Linked DNA regions of Arabidopsis thaliana. The protein of the gene in region 2 interacts with the protein of the main gene of each other region in a biochemical or structural test. Each region holds a gene or a part of one and is shown on either strand. Other genes may lie near its edges.

Evidence for each region.
Region 1: the proteins of PPI1 (region 2) and HA1 form a complex in vitro, tested with the Arabidopsis thaliana proteins (one study listed by BioGRID).

The regions. Positions count from the first base shown.
Region 1 is NC_003071.7:8,217,928-8,229,339, forward strand, and holds HA1 (H[+]-ATPase 1), read left to right. Parts: upstream 1-3,586; 5' UTR 3,587-3,930; coding exon 3,931-3,972; intron 3,973-4,225; exon of another isoform or gene 4,226-5,250; coding exon 5,251-5,370; intron 5,371-5,463; coding exon 5,464-5,700; intron 5,701-5,784; coding exon 5,785-6,546; intron 6,547-6,641; coding exon 6,642-6,764; intron 6,765-6,842; coding exon 6,843-6,947; intron 6,948-7,038; coding exon 7,039-7,183; intron 7,184-7,272; coding exon 7,273-7,437; intron 7,438-7,529; coding exon 7,530-7,768; intron 7,769-7,862; coding exon 7,863-7,895; intron 7,896-7,985; coding exon 7,986-8,067; intron 8,068-8,154; coding exon 8,155-8,315; intron 8,316-8,444; coding exon 8,445-8,618; intron 8,619-8,702; coding exon 8,703-8,885; intron 8,886-8,971; coding exon 8,972-9,153; intron 9,154-9,244; coding exon 9,245-9,341; 3' UTR 9,342-9,695; downstream 9,696-11,412. Other genes in the region: AT2G18969 (transcription factor/transcription regulator), read right to left, coding at 11,120-11,412. UniProt on the Arabidopsis thaliana protein: The plasma membrane H(+) ATPase of plants and fungi generates a proton gradient that drives the active transport of nutrients by H(+)-symport. The resulting external acidification and/or internal alkinization may mediate growth responses.
Region 2 is NC_003075.7:13,739,060-13,747,846, reverse strand, and holds PPI1 (proton pump interactor 1), read right to left. Parts: upstream 4,837-8,787; 5' UTR 4,573-4,836; intron 4,545-4,572; exon of another isoform or gene 4,256-4,544; 5' UTR 4,234-4,255; coding exon 3,871-4,233; intron 3,778-3,870; coding exon 3,586-3,777; intron 3,497-3,585; coding exon 3,317-3,496; intron 3,242-3,316; coding exon 3,047-3,241; intron 2,951-3,046; coding exon 2,336-2,950; coding exon of another isoform or gene 2,273-2,335; intron 2,243-2,272; exon of another isoform or gene 2,241-2,242; coding exon 1,947-2,240; 3' UTR 1,636-1,946; downstream 1-1,635. Other genes in the region: AT4G27510 (2-isopropylmalate synthase), read left to right, coding at 1-1,006, 1,085-1,155, 1,260-1,563; RRP41L (3'-5'-exoribonuclease family protein), read right to left, coding at 6,200-6,289, 6,548-6,697, 6,889-6,977, 7,135-7,255, 7,329-7,431, 7,525-7,603, 7,748-7,886. UniProt on the Arabidopsis thaliana protein: Promotes AHA1 plasma membrane ATPase activity by binding to a site different from the 14-3-3 binding site.

The DNA.
Region 1 (11,412 bases), on a different chromosome or scaffold from region 2:
AACACGTTGCTTATTGTTATCGGTAATCATTTTTCGTTAGTAAAATAAACAATACTTAAATATAACTTCTTTTTTTTTTTTTCTTTTTTTTTTTTGAATATCAGGAGGTTCTGGGCCGGAGCCCGTAATCCCCAGGCCCGAAACCACAACATGTAATATTAGTTTCGTTGTCACTCAAACCGGCGACCTCTAAATTTCGCTTAAAGTATTTATCAATTGAGCTAACGACACTTGATTAAATATAACTCTTCCCATCACCTCTTCCAAAAAAAGGAATAAGTAAGACTATAACATTACTTTTCCTGATAACGATATATCGCGAACCTTCACGAAAGTATCATTAGGTTCAGTGGCAGAGAGATAGTTTATATTTTTGATTCATATTTGTTAATTTGTGATTCAGTTATGAAATCTTGCTGGGTCTTAAAAAAGAGAAGAATCGTGTTGTTTTCATATGTTTATAAAATTGAAAATACAATTGTCAATTTATTTTTAATTATGTGACCATTTCTACGACGAATGATCTAATCACAAGCGTAGTTGAAAACTTATCGCCCTCGCTATATTGATGTCAGTGTATTAACAAAATTATCATTATGCTAGTACTTATAATTATATGAATAAATAATAAACACTTGGATTCTAATATGTTCGCATGAGGATGAAAGTAAACTTTTATGCAAAACAAACTTATTATATATTATTGGTGTTCTATTTGGATTCTGTCTGCTGAACTGTATGGTTGTATTAAAACATATATACAATCTTTTACTTGTGTTTGTGGTAGAAATGGAAAATAGAAAAAAGAAGTGATAGAAACAAAAGTAATTTGGGGTATTGTAGTACTAGCGTTAGTTTTCTAAAAAATACCACTTAAAATTAGTATTTACAGATAACAGTTTAGCGAGCATAACTTACTGAATAGTTTCAAAATTGTTTTTAACAGACCTCTGTAAAAATTTAATTAGCGACCTTTTCTATGCTAAAATATTTTTCAAGTGTTTATATATAATCAATTGATATATCAAACAGAATCAAAAGCAAGGGTTAATTTGCAAAATGGCTAATTTTTTTTATAGTTGCTAAAAATATAATTTTAAATAACTAACTAAAAGCAAATGAAAAAGTACTTTAATAGTTGACCTTCAAAAATATTTCATTTAATATTCACGTAGAGCTACTCGTTTTATTCATTGGTAAAATTTAAGAAAACGTGGTAACAAATGATTTTCTTTTTTGGAGGCTAATATAATAATGAATACTATTAAGTACGAGAGAAAAAAAAGATTAGGCTAAGAACTAATAATAATGGAATGATGGAATATAAAAATTCTATTTTGTTTGGATGATCTAACCTTTCATTTAACCTAAATGGGTGATTTTCTTTTCTGTAATATATCACTTTTATATTATATGATTTTAATGTTAACAGATTTTATTAAATAGAGTTGAAGCTATATGATTTCAGGATGCCATATCATACTAATATTCTACGTACAAAACAATTTAGCACAGAAATAGTTTTACCGAAAACTAATTGATGGCAAGAAATCACATGATTATTATTTTTTGTAATTTGTTTTGTATATTTTCCATTAATATTTTGCTAATTAACTCAGCTAAAAATGTTTCAAAAAATAGATCTGATTATTTGGATGTTGGTTTTATATTTCCTTGTTATAAAAACAAAGAATATGACGAATAAATTTAACTTTTTGAAATCCTAAAAAAAAAAGCATACACATTTAAATAAATACTTTTATGTATTTACCTATGAAAGTTAAATTGATTTTGTCTATCAGATACATAAATGATCAAATAATAAATGAGAAAAACCTGCCCATATGTGCCGATATATATCCAGTTGAATTAAACCATCATCTTCTTGTTTCTTTGTTTTTAAAATTCTCTTATGAAATCGATCTTTTAGATAAAATACAATCGAATTTATGGAAGCAAGAAAAAAAAATTACGTAGGGGAGGTGTATTATTGGGGGACCCAGCACGATCAAAAAGTCAATATTCATCAGCCAATTTGCTGAATAAATAAATAAATAACCTTGAAAACAATTTTTGGTTAAATTACAAAAATAATGATATCCACAAACATGTGAATTGTTCCAGCAATTGCTGACCTTGCCATGAGGCACCTTGGAAGAGCCATTGCTTCATTACAATCCTTTAAAGCCATAAATATGAGATTAGGATTACCAAAATTTCACATATAACAAATTGTTTTATATCATTACTAGCTTAATATGTGTTTTATTATAGTTTTAGATCGACGTCATCTGAATATTTTCCCCCAAACTCCTAAATTTTATAATCTGTGTCTAAACCTAATTTTATATTTCAAAACATCCCTTTTTCTGGAAGAAACTTGTCTTTTAATTTTTTTTTTTTTTTTCACACTTGTCTTTTAATTTCCTTAAGAGACCAAATCAAGTTAATTTAGTGTACTCACCACCTTTAAAACAGGTCAAGTTAATTTATTTGAACATCAGTAATAAATTTATGAACATCTCTTTTCAACATCGGTATTCTTAAATAGTGTTTTAGAATCGTCATTTTAACTTTATGTTTCACTAAACTTAGAAAATATTTAGTTTTTTTTATCTCAATTAGTAATTATCATTTAAATTTTTATTTTCTCGGTTTCTACTTCGCCACTATTATTTAACATATTATTAAACAAATTAGTATTATACGGGTTGATTTTAATTTTCCAATTACAAATTAATTAAAATTCAACTTTTTGATTGGTTGTATAATCCGAAGGAAAAATGTTTACATACGAATTGTTTTAAAAACACTTTGATTTAAAAGTCCGACCTAAACAATCAACATGAAAATTAAACTTATGAGCAAATTAGGTTGATCTAGAAAATAACTTTTGCATTTGTCTCATAGGGAATTATAAAGTTAGTATCTACACACATATATCAAATATACATGTTATATCTATATTACTCTCTCTCTCTCTCTCTCTCTCTCTCTATATATATATATATATATATATATGTATATTCACAAATCCATGTATGTATTTTAAATTTTGTTTGTTTTTTTTTTCCTTCAAAATGAGTAACTTATATAGAAGTCATTAAGATTAGCTTTGCACAACTCTTTGGGAACAAAAAAGAACCCAAATTTTAAGCATTATTCAATGTTCATATAATTATTATGTATATTATTTTTCCTTATTGATTATCAATTTTATATACACAAAAAGATATCAGTGAAGAACTTATGATTGTGCATATTTTCTGTCCATACATAACCACAATATTAATCAAAAATTTAAATTTATCTTAGATATTTTTCTTATGATAATTCAATACTGTATAATTTTTTAAAATCTATACATTACAGTTTTGTCTTTTAAATCATATTCTAATATGCATAAATATCTAGAAAAATACTAACTCCATAGAATTAAATTTCTTATGTAAGTTTAGTATATTATCCTAAATTTGTGTTAATGTTAAGATTTCTACTAAATTTGATACTCAAAAGTAAAAAGTTTCTCTTAATAGAAAAAAATAAATATAGATTCTCTTACATTACAGGATCAGAGTATAAAACCAGTTTAAGTAAACAATGTTTCAAAAAACAGTATGATATCTGAAATTTTAATTATAAAACCAAAAATCCAAAGTCAAATATACGTTTTCCAAGTGAGAAAGGACCCATAAACAATTAACAACCATTGATGATCACCAAATCATAATCAACGGTCGAAATGAATGAAAAATAAAAGTCTGAAACGGTGGAGAGTTTCGTCGTTTTGAGTGGTTATAAAAAGAGAAGGCGTATATCTCCTCTGCAACAGAAGCTCGCTTTCTCTCTCTCTCTCTCGTGTGTGTGTGTGTGATCGAGTGGTGAAACGACAGAGAGGGGCGTCGTTTTGTTGATTTCTTCTGGGTGAAGATGTCAGGTCTCGAAGATATCAAGAACGAGACCGTTGATCTGGTATTATTTCGATTCTCTTCTCGCTTAAATTCTTCGAGTTTTTAATTTCATTTTTAGTGTTTATTCATCATGCCCACAAAGTGTTCGATGATTTGCTTGAATGAGAAATAGATCTGTTTCGTTGTTGTTCCTTGCATGGTTTCACGTTTGATTCTTTTACCCTTTTTTCTTCAAATCATTTTCCGATGATTCTACTCCTTTTTTCTTTGATCGAAAACTGAATCTTAATTCCTCAAGAACCCGAAAAATCCGCAAAAAAAAAAAAAACCGATTTTTCCCCCCAATTGTATCTGCCTCATTTTCGATGATTCTATCATGGATCCTATACAAAACCCAAATCAAGATTCCAACTTTATTAATTTTGGTCTAAAATTAGGGTAAAATAACAGATGTCTTTTAAAGGTTTTAGGTATTAAGCCAAAAATAAGTAGATTTTGATACTGTTCATCAGAAAAAGTAGATCTACCCAAAAACTACACACATGTGAAACGCTGAATAAAAAGATAAGTCTTTTTAGTGGTGGAGCTAAGCTTAAGCTACGTCTCAACAAAAGTCTCTTTCACATATTTATTAAAAGAGAAAAAAATCGCAAAAAGTTTGATTTTGCTTGTGATATATAACTTTCTTTCTCTAAAAAAAATCATCTTTTTTTTGTAAAGATAACGTTTTTGATGTTAAAGCAGTTCATAATATTCTTCTATCTTCCACCCATGAAAAATACCAGAGTTTTTAATAAATTTAAGTTTTCAACTTTTTTTTAAATTGTTGTTGATGTTCGAATTTTTTTGATGTACCTTTCCGTAGTACGTTTTTTTTTTTTTTGAACTTCTTTGTCCTTTTGTAAAACATCTATCAGTAGAAGCAACTTGTGAATTCCTCTATTGTAATTGATTTTGTTTAGTGAAATTGTTTTATGACCGAAATACCCTTAACCGGACTTTGGCTTTCACGCCGGAAAGTAGCCACCTTTCATGGAGGGAATCCCGCAGGCGCGTGTGTTACACGTTCCATAACACGTGCATTGAAGTAGTAGTAGTAGTGGTGGTGGTGGTGGTGGTCCCTCTATCCTCCACTGCCAGATTCTTTTCACCTTTCATTGTCACAACTTGAGTCAACGCCACTCTTCATCTTCCGAGTCGCCGAGTTGGATCGTTTCTGACATTTGTAAAAAGATTTCAAAACTAGAAAAGTTTTTGTCTTTTTTACCCTTTTGTTCTTGTTTGATGTTTGAGTTACTATTGTTTGGGTTCTGATCAAAACTTTTGCTTTGATTCTCAGGAAAAAATTCCGATTGAGGAAGTTTTCCAGCAGCTAAAATGTACAAGGGAAGGATTGACAACGCAGGAAGGGGAAGACAGGATTGTGATATTTGGCCCCAACAAGCTCGAAGAGAAGAAGGTTTGAGTTTGACTTAGCATTGTTGTTTTATCATCATTGAAAGCTTTGGTTTTGTTTAACTCACGAGGTTGATCTTTCGTAAAAAAATATCAGGAAAGCAAAATTCTGAAGTTTCTGGGGTTCATGTGGAATCCGCTTTCATGGGTTATGGAAGCTGCAGCTCTCATGGCCATTGCTTTGGCTAATGGTGATAATCGACCTCCGGATTGGCAAGATTTTGTGGGTATTATCTGTCTGCTTGTTATCAACTCCACAATCAGTTTCATTGAAGAAAACAACGCCGGAAATGCTGCAGCTGCTCTCATGGCTGGTCTTGCTCCTAAAACCAAGGTAATATGTTGGTGGATGCTGTGACATTACTGTACAAGATATTTCGAGACTTCTAGAGAGCTTAACCTGTTTCTCTGTTTTCAGGTTCTTAGGGATGGAAAATGGAGTGAACAAGAGGCTGCTATCCTTGTCCCAGGTGATATTGTTAGCATTAAACTTGGAGACATTATCCCAGCCGATGCCCGTCTTCTTGAAGGAGATCCTTTAAAGGTTGATCAGTCTGCTCTAACTGGAGAGTCCCTTCCTGTGACCAAGCACCCTGGTCAAGAAGTTTTCTCTGGTTCAACTTGTAAACAAGGAGAAATCGAAGCGGTTGTTATAGCCACTGGAGTTCACACCTTCTTTGGTAAAGCTGCTCACCTTGTGGACAGCACTAACCAAGTTGGGCACTTCCAGAAAGTTCTTACATCCATTGGAAACTTCTGTATCTGTTCTATTGCTATTGGTATAGCGATTGAAATAGTCGTCATGTACCCTATCCAACACCGAAAGTACAGAGATGGAATTGACAATCTCTTGGTCCTCTTGATCGGTGGTATCCCCATTGCTATGCCCACGGTCTTGTCTGTGACTATGGCTATCGGGTCTCACAGGTTGTCTCAGCAAGGTGCTATCACCAAACGTATGACAGCCATTGAAGAAATGGCGGGAATGGATGTCCTTTGCAGTGACAAAACCGGGACACTAACCCTTAATAAATTGAGTGTGGATAAAAACTTGGTTGAGGTTTTCTGCAAGGGTGTGGAGAAAGATCAAGTTCTACTATTTGCAGCTATGGCTTCTAGGGTGGAGAACCAGGACGCTATTGATGCAGCCATGGTTGGAATGCTTGCTGATCCGAAAGAGGTATAACTCTAATCATTTTGAATTACTTCTTTAGTTTAGTGAAAGGTCGAGAAAACAAGTTCTTAATTTCTTATGTTTCACTTGGATTTTCATAGGCCCGAGCTGGAATCAGAGAGGTTCACTTCCTTCCATTCAACCCTGTGGATAAGAGAACTGCTTTGACTTACATCGACTCTGATGGTAACTGGCACAGAGTCAGCAAAGGTGCTCCCGAGCAGGTGATGAATCTTCAACTTTCTCCTAAAGATGTTGCGTTTTTCCTTTATTCTGTGTACTAATTCGATTCTCCCACACAGATCCTTGACCTTGCCAATGCCAGGCCTGACCTTAGGAAGAAGGTACTCTCTTGTATTGACAAGTACGCTGAGCGCGGTCTTAGGTCGTTGGCAGTAGCTCGTCAGGTACTTTTTTACAAGCAATTTTTACATTGGTCTTATTTGGGTTTTTTTTTTGGCCTGTAAATCAACTGTTTAATTGCATATTCCTTTTTAGGTGGTACCCGAGAAAACAAAAGAAAGCCCAGGTGGACCATGGGAATTTGTTGGCTTGTTGCCTCTTTTTGACCCTCCAAGACACGACAGTGCCGAAACCATTCGTAGGGCGTTGAATCTAGGTGTTAATGTGAAGATGATCACTGGTAACTATTCTTATTCATCATTTTTTTCCCATGAAATCCATGGTTATTTAGATGTTTTCCCCTAACTTGCGCTCTAACTACGTTGCCAGGTGATCAACTTGCTATTGGTAAGGAAACCGGTCGCAGGCTTGGAATGGGAACCAATATGTATCCATCTGCGGCTCTTCTCGGTACCGACAAGGACTCGAACATTGCATCCATCCCTGTTGAGGAGTTGATCGAGAAGGCTGATGGGTTTGCCGGCGTCTTTCCAGGTTATGCCTTGCTTTCAGTTTCAAACCTCATCACATGTTCATTATAAAGTTTTGTTATATTGATCCAAGGTTCTTATGGTTACTGATTGCAGAGCACAAATATGAAATTGTGAAAAAGCTGCAGGAGAGGAAGCACATTGTTGGTATGACCGGTGATGGTGTTAATGATGCACCCGCTTTGAAGAAAGCAGATATCGGTATTGCTGTGGCCGATGCTACAGATGCTGCTCGTGGTGCTTCAGATATCGTCCTCACGGAACCTGGGCTGAGTGTCATCATCAGTGCCGTTCTCACTAGCAGAGCTATCTTCCAGAGAATGAAGAACTACACCGTGCGTATTCTTAATCTCACTCTAATATATTATGCCCACCACTTGTGTTCGTTTGCGCTGGAAACTAATAATTTTAGTTTCCTGCTTGTGACAGATTTATGCAGTCTCAATCACAATCCGTATTGTGGTAAGTAGAAACCCGTTTTACAAATCTATCACTTGTTTAGCATGATTTTACTTTTTGTATACTGATCATATTGCGTTGTAACTCTTGCAGTTTGGTTTCATGCTTATTGCTTTGATATGGGAATTTGACTTCTCAGCGTTCATGGTTCTGATTATTGCCATCCTTAATGATGGTGAGCAAATAACATCCTACTTTTCTAGACAGCGTCCTCACTCGTTATCAGCTATATCTTATGGTATTATGTGTTACTACCTTTTAGGTACTATCATGACAATCTCAAAGGACAGAGTCAAGCCATCTCCCACACCTGATAGCTGGAAGCTCAAAGAAATTTTCGCCACTGGAATTGTGCTGGGAGGCTACCAAGCCATTATGAGTGTTATTTTCTTCTGGGCTGCTCACAAGACCGACTTTTTCTCGGTACATCATCAGTTTATTTTCATTTCTTTTCTCTTTTTTTTGGTACAGGTGCTTCAGGGACTATATAGATATATATGGCCAGGCCTTTTGCTCTGAGTCTTAAAAAATTGTCTCACCTTCGATTTGCAGGACAAGTTCGGTGTGAGGTCAATCAGGGACAATAACGATGAACTAATGGGTGCTGTGTATCTACAAGTTAGTATCATCAGTCAAGCTCTAATCTTTGTCACCAGGTCAAGGAGTTGGTCATTTGTCGAACGTCCTGGGGCGCTTCTGATGATTGCATTCGTCATTGCACAACTGGTAAGGACATCAAGCACACATATTTTCTGAACTTCGATTAGGTTAAAGAAACCCACTGAATTCATTCACTCCTTCCAAATGCAGGTTGCAACTTTGATCGCAGTGTATGCCGACTGGACATTTGCAAAGGTGAAGGGTATCGGTTGGGGATGGGCAGGTGTGATTTGGATTTACAGTATCGTAACATACTTCCCACAGGACATTTTGAAGTTTGCCATTCGGTATATCTTGAGTGGAAAGGCTTGGGCCAGCTTGTTTGACAACAGGGTACATACAAGTCTATCTACCACTATAGAGACCTCTTTTACAAGCTGATGGTAACATACTAATCACATCTTCTTCTATGTTAACAGACCGCTTTCACAACCAAGAAAGATTACGGTATTGGAGAAAGAGAAGCTCAATGGGCACAAGCTCAAAGGACATTGCACGGTCTGCAGCCAAAAGAAGATGTTAATATCTTCCCAGAGAAAGGAAGTTACAGAGAGCTGTCTGAGATCGCAGAGCAAGCCAAGAGAAGGGCCGAGATAGCTAGGTAAGTAGTGTGATTAAAACGAATCTCAACGGAAAGATGCCATTTGATAGAGGTTCTGATTGGTGAATGATTTAATATTATGTTGTGACAGGCTTAGGGAGCTTCACACATTGAAGGGACATGTGGAATCAGTCGCAAAGCTAAAGGGATTGGACATTGATACAGCAGGACATCACTACACTGTGTAGTTGGAGTTGCACAACAACACAAACATTTACCGAAAACCAACCCCATCATGACTCATCTTTTGTTTTGTCTTCACAAATCTCTCTTTAAAAGTCATTACAGTAGAGGGAAGAGAACTCTTGTGTATTGCCATAACTCTTCCAAAACTCTTTTTTCTTTTTGTTATTGTTAGTCATTGTTCTTAAAACTCCTACTCGATATGAGCTTTGCAAATTTGCCTTTGAAGAAACAAGGCCCTTTGCCTTTGAAGAGACAAGGCACTTTGCTTTTTAATGGCCTAATGTGATTATTCTATCACTCTTTTGTCTGTTTGATCAATTTCATCTTGAAGATAATATTTAAATTTAATTCTAAAACAAGAACATTCTTGGTTTTCGTATAGTTTTGGTTTTCATAAATCAAGATATTTACAATGTTGTAAATTCGAGCGAAAGAGAGTGATTAGCTAGCAATGCGAACTCACATTCGAGGGATGTGTTGTTCTCGAAAGATTATCATATAATCCAGTCCCGAAAGACTCTATCTCAAAAGACTCTATCATAGAAAGAAGATGAAGCCAACAACAAGACATTTACAATGAGAGAGCGTTTCAGCGAAGATGAAGACAACACAATATTTACAATGAGAGGGCTTCTCAGTGCTACGGCTCTTCTTCATGGGCAGACACTCAAGAAAACATGTTATTTGCAAGTTGCCAGATAATTACGAGAAAAGACATTCTCTCGTAATTCGGTTTTTGCAAATTCGAATACTTCGTAAATATCATGTAAATTTTGGGAAGAAAGATTTTCGTAATAGATCCTTCACAAAATATGTCTAGTAAATCATTGGCAAGTATTGCTATGGATTTGCAATAACTCTTTTAAATAATTTGATTTGACACAAAATAATAATATACATCCTTGCAAATCCGTAGTAATTTGCTATAGGGAAACTTAAGAAATTATAATAAAATAATATTAAAATTATTTACGATAATAATATAATACATGTAAATTGTATTGTTATTTGTAATTGCAGATGATCATTTGGCTGTTTGCACTACTATAAAACTTTATGCAAAACCAAAAGCAAAGAATGACTCTGCGAGTCACGTCCAAAGATATGGATGATGACTTCAAATCATATATATCACCATTCCTCTAAAAATAAGAATTATTTCAACTTTCTCTAAGCTGAAAGTAAATACTCTTCTTTCAAGTTGCTCGTGTAATCCAAATAATATTGATGGTGATGATGAATACATCAATTCAAAGCAGTGACAAATTCATCCACTGTGTTAATTATGACGAACATTATATCGTTATGTTTTGTGCAAAGACGAAAATTTATAATATGAAATAAAAATATGTGCACAAAAAATAATTTAAAGTCAGTCGGCGTGAAATGACAAAATTATCATTTTTTTTTTTTTTTGTTGGTATACTCTCACGTAGTAACTTATAAAATAAAATAATGAACTTAAGAAAAAAGAAACAAGACAAAACAAGGTTCTGGGTAACACATGCTATCCTTGGATACATCACAACCAACAACTACTTCTCATCAAAATGTGTAAACATTAACAAATAAATAAAAATTATTGACCAGACTTTCACACTTTATTTACATGTTTAACATAATTACATTATATATTGTTGGGCAAAAGTCAGCTTCTAAATTTCAACTTTCAACAAATTTCTTTTGACGTCAATATAACAAATTTAAATTTATAGTTTTTGCTTTGTGATTGTATTCGCCTTATCATATTGAAGAGAAGAAACAATGAATTATATTATATTCAAGAAGTATTATCTTGTACAATAGATTTTAAAACAATCATCTGCAATTCAAGACATACAATGTAGCTTCCAATCTCACTCAAAATCTCCTCCATGTTCATCTCTTCTCCACCTGGCAAAAGCTTCTGCAATTCCTTCAATCTCTTCTTGATCTCTCCTCCTTCTTCTTCTTCGTCGCTGTCTTGGTGTTTTTCTCCACCTTGTCTCTTGCTCGATCTTTCTAGAATCTCGGAAGGAGAACTACTAGTGCTAATTGGATCATCATAAGGGGAAGATAATAGCTTCTGTTGCA
Region 2 (8,787 bases):
CTTGAGTGCTGCTGTGTCCTTGCTGCTAAACCCGGTTATGTTCTCTGCACCAAAAATGATCCATGCCTATGTGGTTTTATTGGTGTCTGACGCCATTGGTATTTGTTCACATCCATGTTTTAAGGGATTAGACCTTCAGCTTATTGATCACTATATTGATGCATTTGAAAAGTCTGTTGTTTTGTATAAGAGACACATGTCTAAGAGTGAGAATGGCCTGTCTGGGAAGTTTGGCTTTTTGACGAGTAAGTCTCGGGTGGCTTTTGAACATCGTCTTTTGCCCTCAACACTGGCGAAAGTTAATGATGTTACACAGCAGCTAAAGGATTCATGGGATTCATATCAAAGTGATAATGCGAAGAGAGAAAACAATGAGCTGGTAGCGTATTCTGTTGCATACGCAAAGGAAAGCTTATGTGTATTTGATAGCTCCTGCTCTGAAAGTATGTTGTCTCAGACCTTATCAATTCTTGGTTGCGTGATACTTAGAGCTAGTTCTGATGATGTTATGGACTCTGTGTTGGAAAAATACAACACATCTAGTATGGAAGATCTATATCTGCTTGCATCCACACTTAAGTTCATGACTTGTTCGATGTTGCAAGCCATCCGGGTTCTCAGGAATTGGAACTGGCATGAAGCTGGAGGTGATGTTCGAGCTTGCAAGGAATACAAAGCCATGATGGATGTTGTTCAACGTTTTGAACAGTTCAATATTCATATGCCCTGTCAAAGTTTCCTGCGCGATAGAATGGAATCTTACCCTCACAGATCTAAGTGGATGCTTATGCATTTTTCAGGCTTACTGTCTGTAAGCTTTGCACTCAAGCTTGACTTTCTAGTGAAGGACTCCATTTTTGGAATGGTGATATCTATGTATTTATTCATCCTAGAAGGGGGTGACTTGGAAGCACTTGGGGATTCAGTTGGTCACTCAGAAAACACGTCATCGTCTATACTATCCAGTGGTTCCAAAAACTTGGCTGCTTCTGGTAAAGCTGACAAGGTAACAACTAAAAACTCTTTTGCACAAAGTCTAAATTCTGCGCTTTTCTAAATGGATCAATATAATTATATGGTACAGACAGCAGTAGATAGGAAACAGAGCGGGGCAGTTGCTTTGAAGTTTCACAAAAACCGAACTTTGTACTTGGGGTATGTATAGACCAGCAAAAGTCATATTTTTTCTCTTCTTCGCTTTCATAATGCATCCATGAGAGCTTTAACCAACAACTACATATTACTCCATGGTTGTGCAGGAAGGTGTCTGAAGCTAAAGGTCCAGAGAATGGTTCAGATTCAGGAGTTGGTGTTGAAGAGGAAACCTGCAATGGGGAGAGATTTCTGTGGTGTATGGCAGGAAAAGGTAACGTGACAAAAACCGATGTGGACGAGTTGGCAGATTTCATAGCGTGTGATCCCGGTAAGGACTACTCCGACTGGCTAAAAGGGAGAGAACGATTTCGGAACCAACGGTGGAAGTCAGACAAGATTGCTAAAGAAAGGTGGAATAAGAAGCAAAAAGCTTGGAGAGAGAACAGAGGAAGAGGGTCTAAAAGCTGAATGTTAATCTTCTGTTGTAAAAGAGTTCATCATGTAGAAATGTCACTACTTTAGTCTCTGATAATTATGTATAAAATGGTTTCTATTATCATGGAAATTTTTTGACCCAACGACCTTGCAAAGAGACGAAAAGAAATATCAAATCTCAAGCAGTACATTATGGAAAACTATAAAATGTAACAAAAACTGTTTTCTTCCTTCAAAGTTAAAGCCTCAACAACAGAAGAGAAGATTGTAAAAAGTACTTAAAAGAAAAGAGTCTCTACTCGTATGTAAAAGATGCATAAGCTTATGAGTTTTTTAAGAGTCAAGAAGGCAAAAATCCCAGTTTTAAAGTATTCCAAACTACAACAAGACAGCTTCGCTTGATCACTCCGTTCGATCTAGAGAACGTAGTAGTAACCCAAGACAAGAAGCAACAGTACCACCAGAGCCGCTGGAGCAGCATAAACCCAGTAATTAGTCGACTTCTTACGCTTAAGGATCGCTCTTGGGATCGTTTCTGGTCCCCTACCGCGGGTCCTGTTCCTTATTGGTTTCTCCTTGAAGACTTTTTCCTTCTGCGGTTTCTCCTCCTGCACCGGAGCTTCAATCTCCTCCTCAGAAGCTTCTGGAACTTCCTCAGTCTCGGTTTCTGTGTTGCCTCCGGTTTTCTTCTTGGCCTTCTTCTCTTGCTCCTGCAACACACAAAAAAAGATGGCGAGAACTGTTAGAATGGAGAGAGAAGAATGCAAAGAGCATTGAGGTACAACAAAAAAGAAAAGGTAATTTCCTTCTTTTCTTTCTTCTCAGCTTCCTTTTGAGCTCTTATAGCAGCTTTAGCAGCAGCTTTCTCTGCCAGCTTCTTCTTCCTTTCCATGGCTTGCTTGGCTTTAGCAATCTCCTCTTGCTTTCTCATTTCCTTCGCCGTAGCTGCATCAACCGGCTTTTCTTCCTTCTGCGGCTTTCCAAGACCATATACTTCATCATCATCATCATCAGCAACATTCTTTACTTTTACTGCATCTTTAGCTTTCTCAGTATTCTGAGCAACAGTAGCATCTGGTTTAGGTGCAGAAACTGGTTCCTCCTTTGGCTGCGGCTTTGCCTTAGCTTTAGGGACAACCTCGGTTTCAGAAGGCGTTGCCTTTGATGGTGCTGCCTCTGGAGCAATCAGAGGCTTCTCATCGGGGTTCCTCATCCGTCCATCTCGGCTCAGCTGCCTAGAATCAAGTGATTGCAAGATTCTCTTCTCATAATCTTCTCTGAAATTCTTCTTACTGCACCAAAGGGATATAAATTTCTCAACCTCAGCATTGGCTAGCGCCTCAAGCTCGCTTATGTTCTTTTGTGCAGCCAAGTCTCTAGCTTTGTTCAACACAGTACGGTTTTGGTAATACTCGGAATTCTGTATGAGAAAAGAATACAAAAATCAAAGATTACTAATTGACACAAACGAATCCTTCTTCATCAGAAGAAAATGCTCAAAAGTAAGTGTTTGTACCGTCTCATCGCGTTGCCTCCTGAGGTCATGAATGTTTGAATAGGCTTTGTCTCTCTTTTCGCTCACAGTCTTGAGCTCATTTTCCAGTACCGTAATCTCATCTTTGGTAGCTTTCAACTTCTCACTCAGCTCATTAATCCTTGCTGAAATTGCTTGCCTCTCCTTTTTCACTCCATCCAAACCAGCACCCATTAACTGCAAAAAGCATCACATATGAAACCAACTTCTACAGACTATATAACAGCAAGAATCCGGCCACAACTCTCTTACCTTAACTTGACCTTGGATATCATCCTTCTGACCCATAGATTCTTTGATTTTGGCTCTCATAGCGGCATTAGCAATGACCTTATCTCTTGTCCCTTCAAGCAGCCTGATCTCTTTGAGAATCTGCTTCTCCTCGGTTAACGGAATGCTTTCATGTTGAATCCGATACTGATAGCTGTATATCTTCATTTTCCACAAACTCAGGCAAATGAGAATACCGAAAAGGCTAACCAAAGCTATCGAAAACAAAAAAAAAGGTCTCATATAATTACCATACTATTCAGCTCTTCCTCGGAGGAACAGATAGCAGGGCCACGAGCACTCCCACCATCATTGCTCCTTAACTTTCCCAGTGCTTGCTGCAATGGTTCCATTTCCTTTCTTTTCTCATCAAACATTGTGTTGAATCCCTTACGCTCTGACTTCAACGGGTCCAGCAGATCAAATAACTCTGATCTCTCGGCCTAGGCATTACCAAAACCGCATTATCAGCACCACTATAAAAGAAATAACGAAACTCCTAAATCCGACACAAGAAGGTAGCAAAAAAAACATACCCTCTTAGCTCTCAACTTGTCCAAAACTCCAGTCCGAGCTTTGTTCAACTTTTCAAGCTCTTTATCAGCTAGATCAAGCTTAGCTTTAATTTTGGGGTCAGCGTAAGAACGGTATTTAACAAGGTAGAAAGAGTGGATCTGCTTAGCCACAGGCCACTCTTCTGCTGCATTTTTGGGTGCATCAGAGTTGACCACTTTGTTATTATTCTCTTCGGCATTCTTTGGTAGCTCACCGACTGAACCAAAATTGATGGGGGCATCATCTCCTTTTCCTTGGTCCAGCTTCCCGTTCTTCTCAGGTTTCCCCTCGAAAGGAGCCGGAGCAACCTCAAATCCACCAGAGTTTACAACTTCAACACCCATTGTTTCAAACACAGGATTGATCCTAATACCAAAAAATACATCAAAAACATCAGTCCAATATAACGGATCCAAAACTAATCTACGATTAAAATCGCACTTGAAGGGATCTATAATGCAAAGATCTGTAAATAAAACTAGTCAATTATTCAATATTAAGACAGACGAGAACAAGATCAAATAAAAAACTAAGAACAGCAGATTCAAAATACATGCCAAAGATCAGGAGAGAGTAAATTCAAAACAAACGGAAACAAGTTAAATTAGCAAAAGATCAGAGACGATCGATAAAAATCAAAGCAAATAAAAGTCAATAGAGACAAGGGGAAGAGAGAAGGATACCGTGAAATGGAGATCTGAAGAGAGAAGAAGGAAGAGACAGACCCTTTTAGAGGAAAAGAGTCGCTATAAACTTTTTCCTCTGCCCAAGGATTTTTTGTGTGTTAAGCAAAAAATGGGGTCAGATCTCAATCTCTAAATATATCACTTGCATTTCTTGGAAACCCCACGAATTTGCATTCTTTTTCTCTTTCTTATTAATAAAAAATGATCTATTGTGATTTTTACCAAACCCGGTAAAATTGTATTTACAGATTTGTATGAATCTACTGCAATCTCCCCGATTGGGCCATTCATACTTTCTCCTACCTTTGTTTTGTTCGTTCATTTTTGACTAATTAAGGGCTTTATTCGTAAATTTTTTTTTTTTTATTGACTTGTTTTTGAATGTTATTAAATGTTTTAGGAGGAGCAGATATTATTTTAGGTTTCTAAATGTTTTTTTCTATTTGAGTAACGCATAACTTTGACTCAAAAACTTTAGATATCTTTGATTAGTTATATAAAAAAAAAACATTTAATTTTTAGTAGAATTTTGAAAGTACGTGTGATTGAATGTGAAGAAGACATACACTTTTATATGCAGAGTGGTCACGGGCATTGCGGTTACTGAAATGATAAAGTTCATAAAATGTTAGATAGAAATTAATCAGTAGAACAATCTAGCTGAAATGTTAGATACAAGCATTTACGAAATAAATAAAAATTTACAGAAAACTGAATAATTCGTAAAAAATGTTATTATATTTTTCATAAACTTTTTATACATTGGAGTTTTTTTTTTCTAATGTCTTCTATCATTCATGTTCCCGCAAATTATCGTGTGTTTGTAATTGTCATTTCAAGAATGCTGAAAGGTCTTAGAATTTACTAGTTACTCTATTAGTTCATGTATCAATCTTAACAAGAAGACAAGAAAAAACAAAAAAAAATCAAAGAGAAAATTGGGAGAAACTAGAAGAAGAAATAAAAAGACAAAAATGGGGAAGAGGTGGGAGATAGAAAGAAACAGTTGTTAGGTGGTGTTGAAAACGTGTGAAGTCTTCTTTGGCTATAAGGGCACAACTGTCCACTTTGCTGCGACACACGTCTTCTCTTCTCTCTCTGACCAAAATAATCACATGTCATGCGGATTAGATTCTTCTTCTTCGTATCGTACGTACTACATGATCAGTTGAAGTTCCGACGTTAGCTGATATTACCTAAACACCCTCCTTCATCACCGCCCCCAACTTGTGTGATGTGTGAACCAGAGAAGACTTTTTCTTTTTTAAGATGCAAAAATCAGTTACTCTTTTCTTCATTTTTCTGTATACTATTCTTAATATCATTCCATTTTCGTATAAATTTAGAAAATCTGATATTAATATCATCCACAAGTTTTTTGAAATTGTAAAGAACAATGTGATTGATTTGTTGAAATTCCCTACTTTAAATTCTGTATGTCTTTGATACCACTCGCAATTGGGATCCATTTCATAGCTAAAGATCTAGTTCCATCAAATCTTATGTGAAAACATACATCGGTTTAAACTACACACAGGTTTAGACTAAATCCGTTTACCTATAACAGCTAAAACCGGTTTCATACCAAGTCTGAGCTACAATCCAAAATCATAGTTATTTATGCTCATTCATCGGAAGCTGAGGCAGACTGTTTCAGACAATCACGCATGATCTCTCCAAGTTTTGAACTAGCATCCAAGCAAAGCTGCATTGCCTGCAATATTTGAAATACAAATGTTTGGTAACATGTCTGCACAGCTCCTATGTCACAATTATATGTTAACAACATAGACCCTATGGTATGAACAGCTTAAAAAGAAAATGAAGAACAGTCTAATTAACCAATATCCATGTGATTTAGACAAACAAAGCAGTTGAATAACATCAATATTCAACACTAAGAAAAGAAAGACCTTTTGTCTCTAACCGTCATCGGCAAATTAAGGACAAGAGATATTATTGAAAGGCATACCTCGTTGATATTAGGTGTTGTCCATTCACCAGTGATGGTTAGCTGAGTGATTTCATAACGAGATGGCATGCACGTCATCATAAAGCTGCCATCTTCACATCCTTCCTCCTCTGTAACCGGGTCTATCATAAGGCTTTTGCCTATGCAAGACTTCGAAAATTGCAGGCATAATTTCAGTGTATCAAAATAAAGAATTAACAGATATCTATACGTTTTACATGTCTCAGACTATGGTGCACTTGTATATGTCAATGTATGTGTTACTTTCTTCTTCACTTAATGCTAATAAACATAAGAGATAACGCAGAGGAATCAATGCAACTATTGTAACATACACATACCACTGAAACAGCTGTGATAAGGTCATACATCATAATTCCGGCATCAGCTAAAGCAAGACTAGCACATGATATCAAAACAGAGAGGTCACCTGCAATACAATACCATTGGAGAAAATCAGAAAATGCCAAACAACAATCCAATAAGTTGCTTCCATAATCAACTCCACGAATGTCCAAGCGAACCAATAAGCAATCACATTCTGGTAAAATAATTTTGATAGCAGTCGAGTTATTGTTAAGACTTACTTCCTCCAGATTCAAGAACCAATGCAAAAACATCAACGGTTGTTTTTGGAAACGTCTCCATCATTATTACACCTTCCAATGCTTTGTGAAGCATTGATGAATATTCTTTGTGATCAGTTCCCTAAAATACCACAATGTATTACTAAATTTGATGAAACAAGTTAACACCAAATGTTGCGAAATTTGGAGATTACCTGGCCAAGAGTAGGGGAAGCAAAATTTGTATAGCTAACATTACAATTCAATCTACCTACATCACTATAAACCATTGCTTTCTTACTCTCCCTTGGCCCAAATCTAAAATTTTTGAACACACAAAAGCGAATTTAGCTGACAGAAAAGTTAATGCAAATCCTGAATATACAAGTTTTCTAATCTAATAATACTCACACTGAAACAATAACTTTAGTGTTCCCAAACTCAGCATAAGCAGAACCAGAAGCAGAACTCACAGCACCAGTTTGAAGTACTGAAAGAAGCATTTTTCACAAAAGAAACAAAATTCAAATCTAGTTTAGTCTCACAAATAACTGGAGTCATATGAATCCAACCGTAATTTCACAATGAAGAACCCTAACGATTAAGAATTTAGAGGAATCAAAGGTGTTTTTACATGCGGGTCGGCATTGGTGGAAGCCACGGCCATCAGGACGAGACCAATCGAGGTCGGAATCTTTGAATATAGGAAGCCGACTTCTTCCGACGATTTTAGGTGAATACGTTGGAGTTGCGGCTCCAGGTTTAGCTGCCATTGTTCTGAGCTGAGACTAAACAAAATCGAATCTGATTACTGAGAAAGAGTTGAGAAATCAATGGGTCAATCTCAGAGCTACGATGCGAAAGAAGCAACAGTTGGTCTAATAAGAAGAATCGTTACCCTGAGGGTTTGAGAGACAGAGAACGCGGCGGAGAGAGTGGAAGAACGATAAACGCCGTTAAAAGATTTTTAGGGTTTAGCAAAAAATAATTAAAAAAAAGGGGGAAATTGTATATTTAAGTAACTAAAGTAATAAACATTTTTATTTACGTAGTTTCAATTTACTAGAAGATTTTACTTTTGTAATCATTTTAAAATATTTGGTATAAATCTTAACATTAAAAAGAAAAGTGTAGTAATCAAATAAAAATAGAGTTGTTGATATCAAATAAAAATACTATAGCTAATAGCTCTAAATGTTTGACAATTAATGGAATTTAGGTGAATGGGATATAGAAAAATATATTTTCCACTAAATACTTCTTTACATATTCATACCATTAATAATAAATCCAATACCATTAAGGAAAACATATTTACATATATTAACTAATAATACAAATTAAGTATAACCCAAAGATTGAAATGAGGACACATAACCATTAAGCTAAATCATCATAATGCCACCTCTTAAAAACATTATTATGGGTTTCATTATGCCTCGATCATACGATGTTTGGCATTTTCCGCATTACTAGGCCACTTTCCTCCATTTTCATTTTATTCGAAATGCAATCATCAACGTCGTCGGTCCATATCACACGTTTTGTCCACACCAGTATACAGTAGTAACATCCTCCAATAATGAATAAGAAGTACTCCTATGTTTTTTTAGCCTGTATATTGAAATTAATGCAATTTAATACGCCAGTACCTCACAACAAATCAAAAATCAA